4 linked regions of the Saccharomyces cerevisiae S288C genome follow. The gene in region 3 interacts genetically with the main gene of each other region. Each region holds a gene or a part of one and is shown on either strand. Other genes may lie near its edges.

The links.
Region 1: mutations in CCW12 (region 3) and SLA1 together harm fitness more than expected from each alone (negative genetic interaction), as found in Saccharomyces cerevisiae (4 studies listed by BioGRID, with this or other methods).
Region 2: mutations in CCW12 (region 3) and CHS3 impair growth when combined (synthetic growth defect), as found in Saccharomyces cerevisiae (5 studies listed by BioGRID, with this or other methods).
Region 4: mutations in CCW12 (region 3) and CHS7 together harm fitness more than expected from each alone (negative genetic interaction), as found in Saccharomyces cerevisiae (7 studies listed by BioGRID, with this or other methods).

Annotation. Positions count from the first base shown.
Region 1 is NC_001134.8:212,132-218,064, reverse strand, and holds SLA1 (cytoskeletal protein-binding protein SLA1), read left to right. Parts: upstream 1-1,698; coding exon 1,699-5,433; downstream 5,434-5,933. Other genes in the region: drug-responsive transcription factor PDR3, read right to left, coding at 1-595; LDB7 (Ldb7p), read left to right, coding at 936-1,478; HIR1 (Hir1p), read right to left, coding at 5,890-5,933. UniProt on the Saccharomyces cerevisiae protein: Component of the PAN1 actin cytoskeleton-regulatory complex required for the internalization of endosomes during actin-coupled endocytosis. The complex links the site of endocytosis to the cell membrane-associated actin cytoskeleton.
Region 2 is NC_001134.8:283,927-289,548, forward strand, and holds CHS3 (chitin synthase CHS3), read right to left. Parts: upstream 4,000-5,622; coding exon 502-3,999; downstream 1-501. Other genes in the region: POA1 (ADP-ribose 1''-phosphate phosphatase), read left to right, coding at 1-345; putative thioredoxin peroxidase SCO2, read left to right, coding at 5,519-5,622. UniProt on the Saccharomyces cerevisiae protein: Polymerizes chitin, a structural polymer of the cell wall and septum, by transferring the sugar moiety of UDP-GlcNAc to the non-reducing end of the growing chitin polymer.
Region 3 is NC_001144.5:369,167-371,780, forward strand, and holds CCW12 (Ccw12p), read right to left. Parts: upstream 933-2,614; coding exon 531-932; downstream 1-530. Other genes in the region: thioredoxin peroxidase AHP1, read left to right, coding at 1-145; YLR111W (uncharacterized protein), read left to right, coding at 1,225-1,557; YLR112W (uncharacterized protein), read left to right, coding at 1,625-2,044; mitogen-activated protein kinase HOG1, read left to right, coding at 2,454-2,614. UniProt on the Saccharomyces cerevisiae protein: Component of the cell wall. May play a role in the formation of a tightly packed outer mannan layer, which protects the inner glucan.
Region 4 is NC_001140.6:381,855-385,003, reverse strand, and holds CHS7 (Chs7p), read right to left. Parts: upstream 1,467-3,149; coding exon 516-1,466; downstream 1-515. Other genes in the region: 60S ribosomal protein eL42 RPL42B, read left to right, coding at 2,253-2,256, 2,698-3,014. UniProt on the Saccharomyces cerevisiae protein: Chaperone required for the export of the chitin synthase CHS3 from the endoplasmic reticulum.

The sequences.
Region 1 (5,933 bases), on a different chromosome or scaffold from region 3:
TTAAAAGATACGTTTCTATCGATCTTTGTGGGCGAGGAGAGAAACTGGAAAGCTTGGGGTAGTTTATTTCGGGATTCCAACTGTTAATCAGGTTATTCAACTGCGACTTCGTTTTATCAATCAAGAGCTGAGTGTCATCACAAGGCGGCAGAGCGTACAAATTTGTCAGAATATTTTGATACGTAACCAGTTGATTTTGATATTTGGAATCATCTTTAAAGAGAATATTATTATCATTAGTAGGATTATTGGAAGTATCAGGAGCATGCGTCGCACTCGGAGAGACTGGAGTCTGTATCAGGTCGTTCATCAGTTTGAAGTAATATTGATTATCTAGCTTAATCGCAGTGTCCAGATGCTGTACATCTGCTGAAGCCTCTACATTGGCGTGGGAAGAGGGTGGAGCAACAGCTGTAGTAGGCAAAGACTGGGAACTATCCTCCTTCTGCGGTAAATGTTTTTTTAGGAATACACACGTACAATCGTAAGAAATGCAGTTGGTACATGGATATTTACCTGTGCATTTGATTTTCCTTTTTCTGCAATTGACACATGCTGTCGAAACTTTTGATCTAGTTGATTTCTTCACTTTCATTGCGGTCACGCAATAAGAAAAAATTAATAAAACTGCTGATGCAGTTGTCGCCTAAGACCTATGGTTGCTTTGGAAGGCTCCTGAAGACACAAACACAGGAAATACATAAATACATTAATGAGATTCTATAACAGTATCTACATATTTGCATTCTAAGACTCACTGTGATAGTTCATTTATTATTCCGCGGAAAGTCCGAGCGGCAGAGGAGGCAGCTCCGCGGAAACAAGGGCAGCGCCTGTTGTTCTGGAAGAAAATGAAAAGTGAAATGCAGTTGTCGTGGAAATAATGGCTTTACCTGAAAGCAGCAGAGCACGGTGTTAACAAGGAATAGCTGAGAATGAGTGGAAGTAATATGGGATACTATGACGTACTCGCAGGGCTTTCAGCGCTGGAAAAGTCATCCCAGGTAGTGTTCAGTGCGACTGAGCTTCAACAGCTTACGCAACAATCTCATGCTACCGACAAGGGCATAGAGGGCAGTGAGAATAGTAAAGCGAAGGTATCCAAGCCCAAAAGAGTAGCTGTACATGGTTACCTAGGCGGTAAAGTGTCGCTCGCCGATGCGGCACAGGTGGAGTATGAAGTAGGCCATTCACTGCTGGGCAGTTATGTGCCACGCCAGCAGTTGGAAGCCCTGTCAAGTGTCGACTTTTCGCACCATTTCCACCGCACATTAGAATGCAAAGCTGCTCTAGAGACACACGATGTTTTTCTTGCCGGCGCAGGACAATTGTCTCTACCCTTCCAATCACACATAGAGAGCCCCAGGAATAGCGAGGCTAAAAGGAAAAGAAAAGTGATAATATGCAAACGGTGTCAATCACGATTTATAGGTTCCCATAGGCGGTCTCAACTTAGAGAACATGCCTGCGTAGATTAAACCATGTAATTGATAGAGGTAGAATGTTGCTTCGTAGAAAGTGACTATACGATTCCTAAAAGGGGCTTCCTTCCACTCATGCGAAATCGAGATACATCAGACGAAAACAGAACGAATATTTAGCGCATATATACTATGTATATCTATTGCAATCCTAAAAGAAGGGATAGTGTAACATAGCCAAGGCGACAGAGTGTGTTATATACAAAAGAGCTAGAGTATGACTGTGTTTCTGGGCATCTATAGGGCCGTCTATGCCTATGAGCCGCAGACACCAGAAGAACTGGCCATCCAAGAAGACGATCTGTTGTACCTCTTACAGAAGTCAGACATTGACGATTGGTGGACAGTAAAGAAAAGAGTCATTGGTTCCGATAGCGAAGAACCGGTGGGTCTAGTGCCCTCCACTTACATTGAAGAAGCTCCTGTTTTGAAGAAGGTAAGAGCCATTTATGATTATGAACAGGTGCAAAATGCTGATGAAGAATTGACGTTTCATGAAAATGACGTTTTTGATGTATTCGATGATAAAGATGCTGATTGGCTGTTGGTTAAGTCTACCGTTTCCAATGAATTCGGCTTCATTCCAGGCAATTACGTCGAACCAGAGAATGGGTCCACTTCCAAGCAGGAACAGGCTCCCGCTGCCGCTGAAGCTCCTGCAGCTACTCCTGCAGCCGCTCCTGCTTCTGCTGCCGTACTACCCACCAACTTTTTACCACCTCCTCAACACAATGATAGAGCTCGTATGATGCAAAGTAAAGAAGACCAAGCTCCAGATGAGGATGAAGAGGGCCCTCCTCCTGCCATGCCTGCAAGACCAACGGCTACTACCGAAACTACTGATGCCACCGCTGCGGCTGTTCGATCTCGTACAAGACTATCATACAGCGATAACGATAATGACGATGAAGAGGATGATTACTATTACAACAGCAACAGCAACAACGTTGGAAATCACGAATACAATACAGAGTATCACTCTTGGAACGTTACCGAAATCGAGGGAAGGAAAAAGAAGAAGGCCAAGCTATCAATCGGTAACAACAAGATAAACTTCATACCCCAAAAGGGGACTCCTCATGAGTGGTCAATTGATAAATTGGTCTCTTATGATAACGAAAAGAAACACATGTTCTTGGAATTTGTTGATCCATATAGAAGCCTTGAATTACACACTGGTAATACCACCACATGTGAAGAGATCATGAACATTATTGGTGAATATAAAGGTGCTTCCCGTGATCCTGGGTTGAGAGAAGTCGAAATGGCTTCCAAATCCAAAAAGAGAGGTATTGTTCAATATGACTTCATGGCTGAATCACAGGACGAATTAACCATAAAATCAGGCGATAAAGTCTACATTTTAGATGATAAAAAATCTAAGGACTGGTGGATGTGCCAACTGGTTGATTCAGGGAAAAGCGGTCTCGTTCCTGCACAGTTTATTGAGCCTGTTCGTGACAAAAAACATACTGAATCTACAGCAAGCGGTATCATCAAGTCTATCAAGAAAAACTTCACCAAATCTCCATCTAGGTCGAGATCTAGATCAAGATCTAAATCCAATGCCAATGCCAGTTGGAAAGATGATGAACTACAAAACGATGTTGTAGGTAGTGCTGCCGGTAAAAGGTCAAGAAAAAGTTCATTGTCCTCTCACAAAAAAAACTCTTCGGCGACCAAAGATTTCCCCAATCCAAAAAAATCGCGTCTATGGGTTGATAGAAGTGGTACTTTCAAAGTGGATGCAGAATTCATTGGATGTGCTAAGGGGAAAATCCACTTGCACAAGGCTAATGGTGTCAAGATTGCTGTCGCCGCTGATAAACTATCCAATGAAGATTTAGCGTATGTGGAAAAAATTACTGGGTTCTCCTTAGAGAAATTTAAGGCGAATGATGGGTCTAGTTCCCGTGGCACTGATTCAAGAGACTCTGAAAGAGAAAGAAGAAGGAGATTGAAGGAGCAGGAGGAAAAAGAACGCGATAGGAGATTGAAAGAGCGTGAATTATACGAATTGAAAAAAGCCAGAGAACTCCTAGATGAAGAAAGATCAAGGTTGCAAGAAAAGGAATTGCCTCCAATAAAACCACCAAGACCAACCTCTACTACCTCCGTTCCAAATACGACGTCCGTACCACCAGCCGAAAGCAGCAATAACAACAACTCCAGTAACAAATATGATTGGTTCGAATTTTTCTTGAATTGCGGCGTTGATGTAAGCAATTGTCAAAGATATACAATAAATTTTGATAGAGAACAGCTTACTGAAGACATGATGCCTGACATCAATAACTCAATGTTAAGAACCTTGGGTCTGCGCGAAGGTGATATTGTTAGAGTAATGAAACATCTTGACAAGAAATTTGGAAGAGAAAATATTGCATCAATTCCTACAAATGCCACTGGAAATATGTTTTCACAACCTGATGGTTCATTGAACGTTGCTACAAGTCCGGAAACCTCACTGCCTCAGCAATTGTTGCCACAAACAACAAGTCCTGCTCAAACAGCTCCTTCCACATCAGCTGAGACAGATGATGCTTGGACTGTTAAACCGGCTTCTAAGTCTGAATCTAATTTACTCTCTAAGAAATCAGAATTTACTGGTTCCATGCAGGATTTATTAGACTTGCAACCTTTAGAACCTAAAAAGGCAGCTGCCTCGACACCTGAACCAAACCTAAAAGATTTGGAACCCGTGAAAACTGGCGGCACCACTGTTCCTGCTGCTCCGGTTTCATCTGCTCCGGTTTCATCTGCTCCCGCTCCATTGGATCCATTCAAAACCGGTGGCAACAATATCTTACCCTTATCTACTGGCTTTGTGATGATGCCAATGATTACTGGGGGCGATATGCTGCCTATGCAAAGAACCGGCGGCTTCGTTGTACCACAAACAACTTTTGGTATGCAATCGCAAGTTACTGGTGGTATCCTACCTGTTCAAAAGACAGGAAATGGGTTAATTCCTATCTCTAACACTGGCGGCGCAATGATGCCACAAACTACGTTCGGCGCAGCAGCTACCGTCTTACCTCTGCAAAAAACTGGAGGTGGCCTAATACCAATTGCCACCACAGGAGGTGCGCAATTCCCGCAAACTTCATTCAATGTTCAGGGGCAACAACAACTTCCAACAGGTTCAATATTACCTGTCCAAAAAACTGCTAATGGATTAATTTCAGCTAATACTGGTGTCTCAATGCCAACTGTACAAAGAACAGGCGGCACTATGATTCCACAAACATCATTTGGCGTTTCACAGCAATTAACAGGTGGTGCAATGATGACCCAACCTCAAAATACAGGGAGTGCCATGATGCCTCAAACATCCTTCAATGCTGTACCACAAATTACTGGAGGAGCAATGATGCCTCAAACGTCCTTCAATGCTTTACCACAAGTTACAGGGGGAGCAATGATGCCTTTGCAGAGAACTGGTGGTGCTTTGAATACATTTAATACTGGAGGCGCCATGATTCCCCAGACTTCGTTCAGCTCTCAAGCTCAAAACACTGGCGGGTTCCGGCCGCAATCCCAATTCGGTTTGACTTTACAAAAAACCGGAGGTATTGCGCCATTAAACCAGAACCAGTTCACTGGTGGAGCCATGAATACTTTAAGTACAGGGGGCGTTCTTCAACAACAGCAACCACAAACGATGAATACCTTCAATACTGGTGGTGTTATGCAAGAGCTCCAAATGATGACTACTTTCAATACTGGTGGTGCTATGCAACAACCACAGATGATGAACACATTCAACACCGATGGAATTATGCAACAACCACAGATGATGAACACTTTTAACACTGGGGGTGCTATGCAACAACCACAACAACAAGCATTACAGAACCAACCTACTGGATTTGGGTTTGGTAATGGACCTCAACAATCAAGGCAAGCCAACATATTCAATGCTACTGCATCAAATCCGTTTGGATTCTAGATTAATGTATTTTAAGATTTTATAGGATAATAACTAAAACAAGCTATATGAAATAGTTTCGTACAATCTGTGCTTATACTCGTGAAAATGGCAAATTTCTCTTTTTTTTTTTATAAGTAGTTATGTATGTATTTTACTAATTTTAATATAATCGTTCTCAGTCCCAATAATGTTTTATTGTCATATTATACTAAAGTTGAAATGGTGGAGTCGACCCTAAGAATTTATTTCTTCCAGACAGAGGAGGTGTGTAGTCACTTTGGTTCCACTAATAGACAACCGACATTAAAATACTTCTGATCTGTGCCTTCAGAAAGCTTCATCTGTAACCGCTTGTCTGTATGAGTCGTTTCAAATGGTAACCACTTAAACAATGCGAATACTACAATGATATTTATAAAATATAGACGTAATTATGAGGGAAAAAACTTGTCCAAAGGAAGGGGTATAAGCTTATTATTTATATAACGACCAACAACCCAGATCCTTAGTCCATTTAT
Region 2 (5,622 bases), on a different chromosome or scaffold from region 3:
AAATGCATATTACTTCCCAGTTACGAAAACTCAGATCTGCTGATTTGTTGCTTGTTTACATCATCATTTGGAGGTTCAAGTCATGGAGAAAAGCAAAGTATTTTGAATTATACAAAACTTGCTTTAGATAAATTGAAGACCTTTAGAGAAGCAAAAGACAAAACTCGAACAAGTGAAGATTCAATCGGTGACTATTTAAACGGCCACATCAAATACCCAATAGGGGAATATAAATTGGAAATGCCACAGATAAATAGTGGCATATTCGGAGTCCCTTGGAAAGAGACAGAACGCGTGTTAGAAGAATTTAGTGGCGACATGAGTTTTACAGTATATCAGCTGTAATTGCCTTAGCCACGTAATATGTGCCTTTAAAGATAGAGAAATATTTATTTATTAAGTTTTAGTTCTAAGGTGTGTTAAAATACCTCTCAAATAAATAAGTTACACACAACCATATATCAACTTGTAAGTATCACAGTAAAAATATTTTCATACTGTCTATGCAACGAAGGAGTCACTTTCCTCCTTCCGATTGAGAATATCTTCCCTTTCAAATTCCCTCCATGTCCTCATTTTAATCTTTGAGTGATCAAATTCACCTTCATTCTCGTCTTGTGCCTTTTTATTACCTCCCGCAATAGTTCTCGTATCACCCCATGAGAAGTCATCAAATTTCCAGTACGCATATGAAGGTAGTACGAAATTCCAAATAGGCAAAGCACAAATATATACGCACATCCACCATAGGTACGACCATCTCGTAGCAGTTATAACAACAATTAAGCCGGGCAGACCAAGAATAATTGCCAGTAAAACTAAAGTGATTACGGGTGTAGGTTTTGATACAATGGCAAAAATAATGACATAAATAGTAAAGCAAATGGCTAACGGCAGTACCATAGTACCAATCAATTCAATACCAATCACAAATTGCATGGAAAAACAGAAAGTGCCACATAAGTCTCTGATTAGAACTAATTCAAAAAGGTTATGTACCGTAGAATTAATCCATCTTCGACGCTGGGAAAGTAAGACTTTGAATTTATCAGGGGCAATAGTTTTACAAGCAGCTTTTGGAACAAATACTTGCTTTCTCTTAGGGAAAGTCTTTAACATTAATGAAGATAAAAATCTATCTTCACCAAGTAATAATAAGTTCTTCTTATGCAAAGTGTTTGTAACATTATCCGAATATCTTTCAACAATATCTGGATTTGCCAATACAGGTACCCAATAACCATCTGAACCTTTAGGAGATTTTATACGATACATTGAGAAACATCCCGGCAAACAAGTTACCGAACCGAAGACAGATTCAAAAGCTTTAGCCTGATGATGCGAAATATAGTACTCAAACACTTGAATTGCAGTTACCCAAGATTGTGCCTTATTAGCGATCTTGGTCTCACCACAAAGACCCATAATCAAAGGATCTTTAACCATTTCAGCGACCATATGAGTTAAAGCATCGGGAAAGACTTTAGTATCAGCATCAACCATAAGTACCGTTTCGTAGAAGTCTGCCATTAGCCCCGTAATCTGCCAAATATTTTTTAAAAGCTGAAATTCCAATTGAGTCATTCTTTCATCAAATGTTATTTTTTCTAAAAAGGACATCAGAATAATTTGAGAATCACGCTTACCTCTGTTACCGGGTTTGGCGGCCCCCTGCTCTGCAGGAGTACCGCACTTCACAATTGTAATGATTGGGACACGTTGTTGATTTTCTGGTGGAATTGTAGAATCGTCATATTTGTAAAAACCCGCATATATCTTGGCCATATTGTGTCTTTTAGAGCCTGATGCCACTGCCACATAGGAGTAAGGTTTAACTTCATCAGGTGGGGTGACAAAGTCGTCCATCATTCCTAACGCTATCTCTGGAGTAGTCTTATCGTTGCCCGAGCCCTTAATTAAACCATCACAAACAACCATCAGTAGTTTATGGGAATTTGGATAATCTGTGGTAGAAAGAGAGTCTAAAGTGGTTCTTAAACCCTCTTCATCCTCAGAATAACAAGTAACAAAACAGATAGTATGAATCAATGGGAACCCGTATGGCATAAAATCCAGTGGTGGTTGTTGAACGATATCGGGATGTATAATCGTCGAATCAAGACTCTGAATCAGCGATGATCCTGGTACAGGAGAGGAAGTCGCTTTATTCCAAAACATCGAGGATGTAGGCAACAAAGTAGATGGATTACGGGAATGTACAGCTTTGTTTTCATTCGAGAGTTTCCAAGCATTTTGAGTGGTCATTGTTGTCATTCCTCTGTATGAACCAGAAGATTGTAGTGAACTGCTCATGGAGGTGTCTAGATCTATCACAGATTCGTTAAATTGAAACATTTTGGAGCTGTGTTTTTTCAGCAAGTCAAAGGTTGAAGCACGCTTGTGTCCCAACGACTTTTTTGAGTATTTCTTTGGCCTCAAATGAGGATCTACTTCCTTTAGAGGAGCTTTTGTTTGAATATTATTAGACCAATCCTCGATATCGTTTGTGTGTTTATCCATTGTTTTATTGTCCACGATATATGCACCTTGTTTCCTAGCTACAGTCCAACGGAAGTAGCAGGCAATTATGAATTTAATTATCACCACTGAAAGAATAAATACCAGAGAAACATACAAAACGACATCAGAGGCAATACAACCGACGGTTTTGGAGTCTACTTCACCAACTTTAATAATTTCGCTCAAACATCTCGCAATTTTTCTTTCATGCCCATTTGACAAAACCAACGAAAGATCATAACCTTGTAAATTTGAAGTCTTCAAGTCATCGAATACAACGGGATAGTCAACGTCATCCTTTTCCAACCAATCAAGAAGATCTAAATCCAAAACGTCGCCATTATAAACAATCAAGTTTCTAGAAGAGTTCTTTATACCATCCCAAGTGAAGTAAACATCAGCTTTCGACTTTAAACCGTAAAATGCGTCCCTATCTTCTTTAGACGTATGACAGTTCCATCCTGCGTAATTTTCAACTGTGAAGTTTGGCTTCGAAGAGCCATCTTGATTCTTTAACTTACAAGGAAAATACCATGCTAAATTATTATCATCGTCATGGGGAATGGAAGAATTACTCTTTGGAGTTATAAGGTTATGACAGTTACCATTCACATTTTGAAACAAGAACGAAGCATCTTTACCAGCATCTGACCAGGGCCCATAAAGGGTGTCTGAATCTACTTCAACGTCTTGTATACCGGAACGCGAGGAAGTATCCAATTCATAAGCCTTACCGTTAATTACGACAAATTCTGTTGATACTTCGTTGTTTTTCAAACGTAGTTTCGAACTACTACAAACGGTTTTAGTGAAACCAAAAGTCAGGAAAGCCACAATCGCACCAATGTACAAGATGACAGAAATTAAAGCAACCTTTTCTCTCCACGCCATTTGTCTTTCCTTCTTTGGCATCCCGCAGAAAGCAAGAATTGGAGCAGGTGCCCAAAACGTAATGAAATAACAGTACATCTGCCAAAATGACAATGTATCATTCGTTTCCTTTCTTAATGGTTTGATAGACTTATTTATGGGCTGCGTGGAGCTTTCTTCGAAATTGTCCACATCACCATCTTTATCAAATTCGTCTTCCGCAACACCTTCATCACTTATTTTAACGGAAGCCTTCTTGTCAGTAGTATTCATATCTTGTAAAAGATAGCTATCCGTTTCGCGGCCACTAAATTTGCTTCTCACTGAGCCTTTGGAGCGCAGGGAGCCACTCCGACGAGTTGCATTTGGGTTTACACCGGTACTTGATGGTAAAACATCCAGGTGATTCATCTGCTCCTGCGTTTTCTGCGCATAATAAAAATGTGGATTATCAGGATTGTTCAGTCGGCTTCTTTCGGGCCGCACTAAAGAGCCTTGTCTATGAGGTGCTCCTGAGCCGACACTGTGTCTTGACCTAAGTAGAGACTCTTCATCTTGATTAAGGTTCAGATAGTAGTCATCAGGATCATCTCCATTCAAGCCGGTCATTCTAATTTCTTTCCTGCGGATAGTCTAAACAGGACCTTTGAAGAAAATGGGACCTACACCAAAAATACTCGAGAACTTTGCAAATCGGTAAACGTTTATAACCGTCTACCAATGTGATTCTTCTAGCAGGATTTACTACAAGTCGAAATGTTGGTACTGAATGTAAATCTGAAACACAGGAAAGAATATTTTTGATTTCTATTTTTATGCTCTTATTTTCATTTTTGATTTTTTTTTTCGAGGTCTGCGCCAGCGCCAATAACGCGTTTTATCCAAATAGGCAGCCAAAGAGGGTCACCTATGCAGGTGCTGAATGCAATACAACTGCGGGCTAACTGTCCATCGACGCTATTGAATATGCTTCAAGAAATATCCAGTCTCATGCACATGTCAAATATGTGGGTGAGGGCGCAAATACAACGCACGATTATATATACATTTGTGGCTACGTAGTACGTGCGGAGATAGGCAGGTATTTGTTCAAGGATGTAAATAAGAACTACAATGCTTAGTTCTCGAATCCTAGAATGTGAGTAAATCTCACAAGCACCGCTTCTATAAATTTGTCTAGGGTAATTTGTAATCTTTTCCCATGCGGATTCTCTTAAATACGGTACAGCCGTCGCTGCTGCGGTGTGATTCTGGTTTCATAGATCTGGAAAAAGAAAGCGAGACACAATACAAGAGCTTTGTGACACAGCGTACGGAGAGAATAAGATAAAGAACAGTTCCTGGCGTTTTTAATTGAACTTTTGTACTCGTCTCTTTATTCTCACGAATTTTTTTACCGCCGTTTTCATTTCCATTGCAAAGGAGGGAAAATATAAATGTTTTTATAGAGGCAGTATATCTTTAATTTCATAGCATATGCAGTTTAGAAAAAAGACGTAAATTCGTTGCCCTAGTCACGCTGGTTACATAAATTGGTCGTTGAATTGACTTTTAAGACATCCAGTTGGTGTGTTTGCTCCAAATAGTGCTGACGCATCTTGCCAATTCTCGTCAATTTAGCACGGAATGCTTGTTACTTATTCGATAACGCTTTTACCTTGATTGCATGTAGTCACTATCCTCAAACCTTTTCTAAGGTTGCCCTATTGGCGACAGAAAAGCAGGACGAGAAATCTAAATAACCAACGTGTGGTTTATTAACTATGACGGTTGGTTTGCTTGCCGCCCCAAGTTATAGAAGACTGCCCTTCATCCCGGGGTAGCTATCATAGAATCTGTCGATAGTTACAATTTTGGGTGGGGTGTTTTCAAAAATGGACGGATATGCCGGTCTTTGAAACTTCGATGATGTAGCCTATTGTTTTAATTTTCTGCTTGATCCTTTCGCTCTTTTTAGGGATAAAAAAGAAAACCTAACAAAGTATGAATTTCGAGAAGTCCCATCGATAGTAGTCAAACAATTGCTAAAGAGGGCTACGGATCGTCTACAATACCTTCGTAAAACAGCAGCTTACAGGATCTTTTATAATATCACCATAGAAAGGGGAATTTGGGAAGCGAGAGTAAAATGTTGAATAGTTCAAGAAAATATGCTTGTCGTTCCCTATTCAGACAAGCGAACGTCTCAATAAAAGGACTCTTTTATAATGGAGGCGCATATCGAAGAGGGTT
Region 3 (2,614 bases):
ATTAGCCGTCGGTGACGGTGTTTACTGGAGTGGTAGATGGGCCATGGTTGTTGAAAACGGTATCGTTACTTACGCTGCCAAGGAAACCAACCCAGGTACCGATGTGACCGTTTCCTCAGTCGAAAGTGTCTTGGCTCATTTGTAGATGCTATGTAATAGACAATAAAACCATGTTTATATAAAAAAAATTCAAAATAGAAAACGATTCTGTACAAGGAGTATTTTTTTTTTGTTCTAGTGTGTTTATATTATCCTTGGCTAAGAGGCACTGCGTATACTTCAAGGTACCCCTGTGTTTTGAAAAAAAACAACAGTAAAATAGGAACTCCGCGAGGTTCAGGAACCTGAAACAAAATCAATAAAAACATTATATGCGTTTCGAACAAAATTAAAGAAAAAGAATAAATATAGATTAAAAAAAAAAAGAAGAAATTAAAAGAATTTCTACTAAATCCCAATTGTTATATATTTGTTAAATGCCAAAAAAGTTTATAAAAAATTTAGAATGTATAAATAATAATAAACTAAGTTTACAACAACAAAGCAGCGGCACCAGCCAACAAAGCACCAGCAGCTGGCAAAGCCTTAGCAGCAGCACCAGTGTAAGAGGTGACAGAGTGAGTTGGAGCAGCAGAGGTGGTGTTCTTTGGAGCTTCAGTAGAGGTAACTGGAGCAGCAGTAGAAGTACCGTTCTTTGGGGCTTCAGTGGTCAATGGGCACCAGGTGGTGTATTGAGTGATAACGTCATCGACGGTGACGGTAGCGGTGGAAACCAAAGCTGGGGAGACAGTTTCAGAACAGACGTGGTCTTCACAAGAAGTGATGGTGACCAAAGTGGTAGATTCTTGGCTGACAGTAGCAGTGGTAACGTTAGCAGCGGCAGAAGCGACAGCGGCGACAGCGGCGATAGAAGCGACAGTAGAAAATTGCATTATTGATATAGTGTTTAAGCGAATGACAGAAGATTAATTTCTTGGTATGTTAGGAAAGAATAAAGGAGAATAAGAATAATTAGAACAATGTAGGATGGAAAGAAAGATTATCAAGCATGCCGACTTTATATACTTGAACGGAGGCAAAGGATGCAAAATTTTCTCACATTTCTTTCTGCCGTTATGTTGGAAGTAAGACTCCCATTATCGCAATACTGCAACACGAATATGCAAAATTTGCTGAGTTATCGCAGATAGTTGTTGCAAAGATAGCGGCGTAGGTGGCCGCGAAATGGGGAATTCCAAAACAAACGGTTTTTTTACTCCTGAGAAATACTTGTACGGGATAATCCAGGGCCTACCACCCACGCTTCGAGGATTGGCTTTTATTTTTTTTTTTTTGGTGGCGTTTTATTTCTTTCCCGCTTTCTGGGACTTGTGCGGAGTTTTGAGAGGGGCGCGCGGCAAAGGATTCCCAAAACGGAAATCAGACGCCAATAGCCAGCACTCAAAGCAGTTCTGGACCCATTCCGATTTTCCCATTTGGTTCTTGCGCGTGCTGATTCCGACACGCGCGTCTATAAATAGCATGAAGTATCCGCACACCGCAGCGTTAGTGAGGTGAGGGTGGCAGCAAGCTAATTCCCGCATCTGGAATCTGAACTGCCCCTTTTGGACTAACCGTGTGGTTCATGGGTGGGCGAAGTGCGCAACCTCGAAGGTTTTCTTTTGCGTGTCGGATTTTACATCCGGCGGTAGCGCATGATGCCATGGCTGGCTCCAGATACATCCTCAGGGCACCAGCATCTATAATTAGATTGGCGCAACATGGCTGGCTGCACTGCTGTCTTCACTTCTTTCTTTTTCCGGCAATGAATGATGTATGTTTTGTGGCAAAAGGGTCCGCATTGTACCTGTTTACAGTTGAGATTATCGTTTTTGGTAGCCCTTCATTACGGCATAACGTATTAAGTTTCTTTTATTTTGCTTTGCCCTGGTTTAAAAGACAATGTCGATTAAAAGTTAATTTTAATCGATTGAAGGAAATAAGAGGAATAGCGCAAGTTGTTAGGAAAGCGTTCTTTATCTCCAAGACTTTGCCCTGTATATAATTAAACACCTCAAAGCGCTTCGTCATGGATGGAGATTATTCGGCATTTTGACATACAGGAGTGCCACATGCGAAAGCGGAGTGGGCGTATTCTCTGGTTACCCTACATGGTCTGGCGGCGTTATTATACGGGAGGATCTTCGAAGGGAAGGAAGGAAAAAAAAAAAGAAAAGGCCAACGAAAAGCAAATATTATCTATCGTCGAAATTATCATACTATCTTACAATAAGAGTAGTAATTACTTTCTTGTTTGTATAGTGGAAGAGGAATTTGCGATAATAATAGCAAAAGTAACTAATCTCTAACAAGAAACCTTATTTATTTTCTCTTTCTTCTATATTGGTAAATACTAGACTCGAAAAAAAGGAACAAAGGGAAAACAGGGAAAACTACAACTATCGTATATAATAATGACCACTAACGAGGAATTCATTAGGACACAGATATTCGGTACAGTTTTCGAGATCACAAATAGATACAATGATTTAAACCCCGTTGGGATGGGGGCATTTGGGTTGGTTTGCTCAGCCACGGACACTTTGACATCTCAGCCAGTTGCCATTAAGAAAAT
Region 4 (3,149 bases), on a different chromosome or scaffold from region 3:
TTTCTTCTAAGATATTCCTACAACTATCAAGCATTGTTCACAGTTCTCTTTTTTTTTTTCAGAATACATTATTTACTTTTCGCAAAGTATTTGTTTACATTCGGGCAGAACTGTAAACAGAAAAGAGACCAGCGGAAAGGCCTAAACCCGCAGCGTTGCGAAAATAAGATGATGCTTTTCGTAGAACCCTCTCATGGAAAAGTAGTCATGAACATATGAGCGACTTTAAAACATTGGAAACAGATTAAGAAGTTTTGTTTTCAATTGACTAAAGAAGGATAATTTGTCATCTTACTTAATAAACTACGGGAACGACCATCACGTTTCTTTTATGGATATGGTTGTTTCCGCTGATAAAAGAAGTCACTACGCTGATTGACTGTCAAAGTGTACACAAGCCGTTAAAACGTGGAAACGGCTACTTTCACTCTTTGGTTTGTCATAGTCCTGCTTATTACATTAAACTAATAGTATACACCTATTTTCTATATATGGTAATAGAAAAAAGAAGCATTTCACATAAATCCATTATCATACACCACGTCACCGTCCTTGCTAACACTTACACCAAATTCCAAGTCGTCGTCGGTAGTCATATCCCAAGTCTTGTAAACCATCATTAATGTGAACACATTACAGATGCTTCCAAAAAAGAGGCCATCTAAGTAGTGCTTGAACCCTTCACAAATTTGTGTAGAGAAGGCATAAACCAATACCTGGCCTGCTACAAAGAAAAATAGCCCCAAAAAGATAGCTCCTGTGACCCATAAGTTTCGAACTACCAATAGGGATACCAGTAATTGACAAATAACGAAAACGAATAAGAAAATGGCGTTTATTATGTAAACGACGACAATCATCCCTGAAGCGTTCATTGTTGCTACTTTATGGTCGGTGATCCATGCTTTGAAGGTTAAAATAGAGGCTAAAAAATTGGCTATGAATCCTAGCATGGACGTTCCACGGACCAACAGCATGGACTTTGTAGTCCCATCTTCCCATAAATTGAAACCTAAAAACCCGATTATCAATAAGGCCCAGCAACATGCACCCGCCAGTCCTATTTGTATAGCCACGAAGTATGGATATGACCCAGAGCCGGGGGGAGATACACCACAGTCTACCACCAAGGTAAATATTATCAATAGCAATGTTAGTTGGAAAAAGTAGAGATATTCAGACCTGCCAATAGCAGTATACTTCTGTCTTATGTTATAAAGTATGATTAAAATGACACCTAGAGCACCAATATTTATGAATGCGTTCCCGACATCAAAGATGACTGTATTGGCAAGATCAATCGACCGAGCATAACAGCGTGGCAGTACACCGACATTCAAATTTAAAGGATCAAAATCATGTATAATTGTTGAGTTCGAAAGTATTAGATGGGTTTTAGACTTTATTACCGAACATAATGGCAACGGGGTCTTTGAGCATATGGCAGCAAAATCACTAAATGCCATATTATATATATATCAGCTTTTGTATTAACAAAACCACAATTTTTGATAATAGTTTTGATGAAATAAACTTTCCACGTGGAGACAGCTTTGAAAAAACAGTTCAAAGTATGCCAGTGTAGCTTTGACTTTTTTTAATCTTTTTAGTTAAGTTATGCAATATGCTATTTTTATACCAAAATGGATCCTTTTTGATTTCGTGTCTTGTGAAACTTTTTCAATATTTAACCGTTTTAAGAAAGCGAAGCGGGCAACACCAGAAGAATGTCAATAACTTACTGTAACAACATAAAACATGGCATTTTAAATAGTACTGCCAAAATTTAATGCAATGGCAATTAGTTGGCTATGTTGCTACATATTATTTTCCATAGCATTCTCTGTCACAAACTTCAAAATAAAAGACAGTGACATCCGAACATCCGATACACCCATACATCATGAAAATAAATCCTGACATTGGAAGAAGTCTTGATACAAAAAAAGATCGCTGTCAAAAATGCGGCCAGACTGCCGCTGCATCGTACCAACAGTGCGTATGTTCAGACGGAGAGACGACCTCTAGAGAGACGTCCGTCGGTGCGGCAACGCTGACGGTTTAGTTGTTCGACGGGATGATGGGTTCCGCCAGGGGGAGGGAAGGCTTTCCACCAAGAGAGGTAAAATTATTCGTCGAAATGAACTCAGAGATACATCCATATTGTTGACAATGTATATCTTAATTGATGTGGTATTTTCACTGTTTTAACGTAAATTGAAGGAGATTAAGCAAAAAAACAATCAGTAATAATGGGTATGTGGACGATTAGGAATAGACAAACCATGTTATTTATCTCCATTAGGGCGTGAGAGTGTAATTAGTACACAGGTACTACTAGAATGCTAAAGAACTTTTTAAAATATCCTGAATCGTAGGGCAAATCCATGTCAAGCAAGAAACTAATAGTTATTAAACTTCATTTACTTTTGAGCTAGTTAAATATTTTCATCATTTCCTAAAGTACTGAACACCTGAATGATACTTTTATTGGCCCTTTTAATAAGAACTCTGGTTAGAAAATATATTGAGGATATCATTAGTAATACTCATTAGATATTTGTGAATTTAGCCGTTTCCCCATTACAGAAAAAAGATACAACTAATTACATGTGCAGTCAAATTACTTTTTTTTTAAGATCAATTACTAACAATCAACTATCATGCTAAATTTGCTGTGATATCATTTTGAACCAGTTAACGTCCCAAAGACCAGAAAGACCTACTGTAAGGGTAAGACCTGTCGTAAGCACACTCAACACAAGGTTACTCAATACAAAGCTGGTAAGGCTTCCTTGTTCGCTCAAGGTAAGAGACGTTATGACCGTAAACAATCTGGTTTCGGTGGTCAAACCAAGCCTGTTTTCCACAAGAAAGCTAAGACTACCAAGAAGGTTGTTTTGAGATTGGAATGTGTCAAATGTAAGACTAGAGCCCAATTAACCTTGAAGAGATGTAAGCACTTCGAATTGGGTGGTGAAAAGAAGCAAAAGGGTCAAGCTTTGCAATTCTGAGAGTTGTTATTGTTTATTGTTTTATTATATTTTTATAGTTATACTTTGACCATTAACTTTTTGTAAATTTTGCATACTTAACTCTTTAATATTGAAAACCTGCCTATTTGGCGTAATTTTTCATCCTGCCTTTGA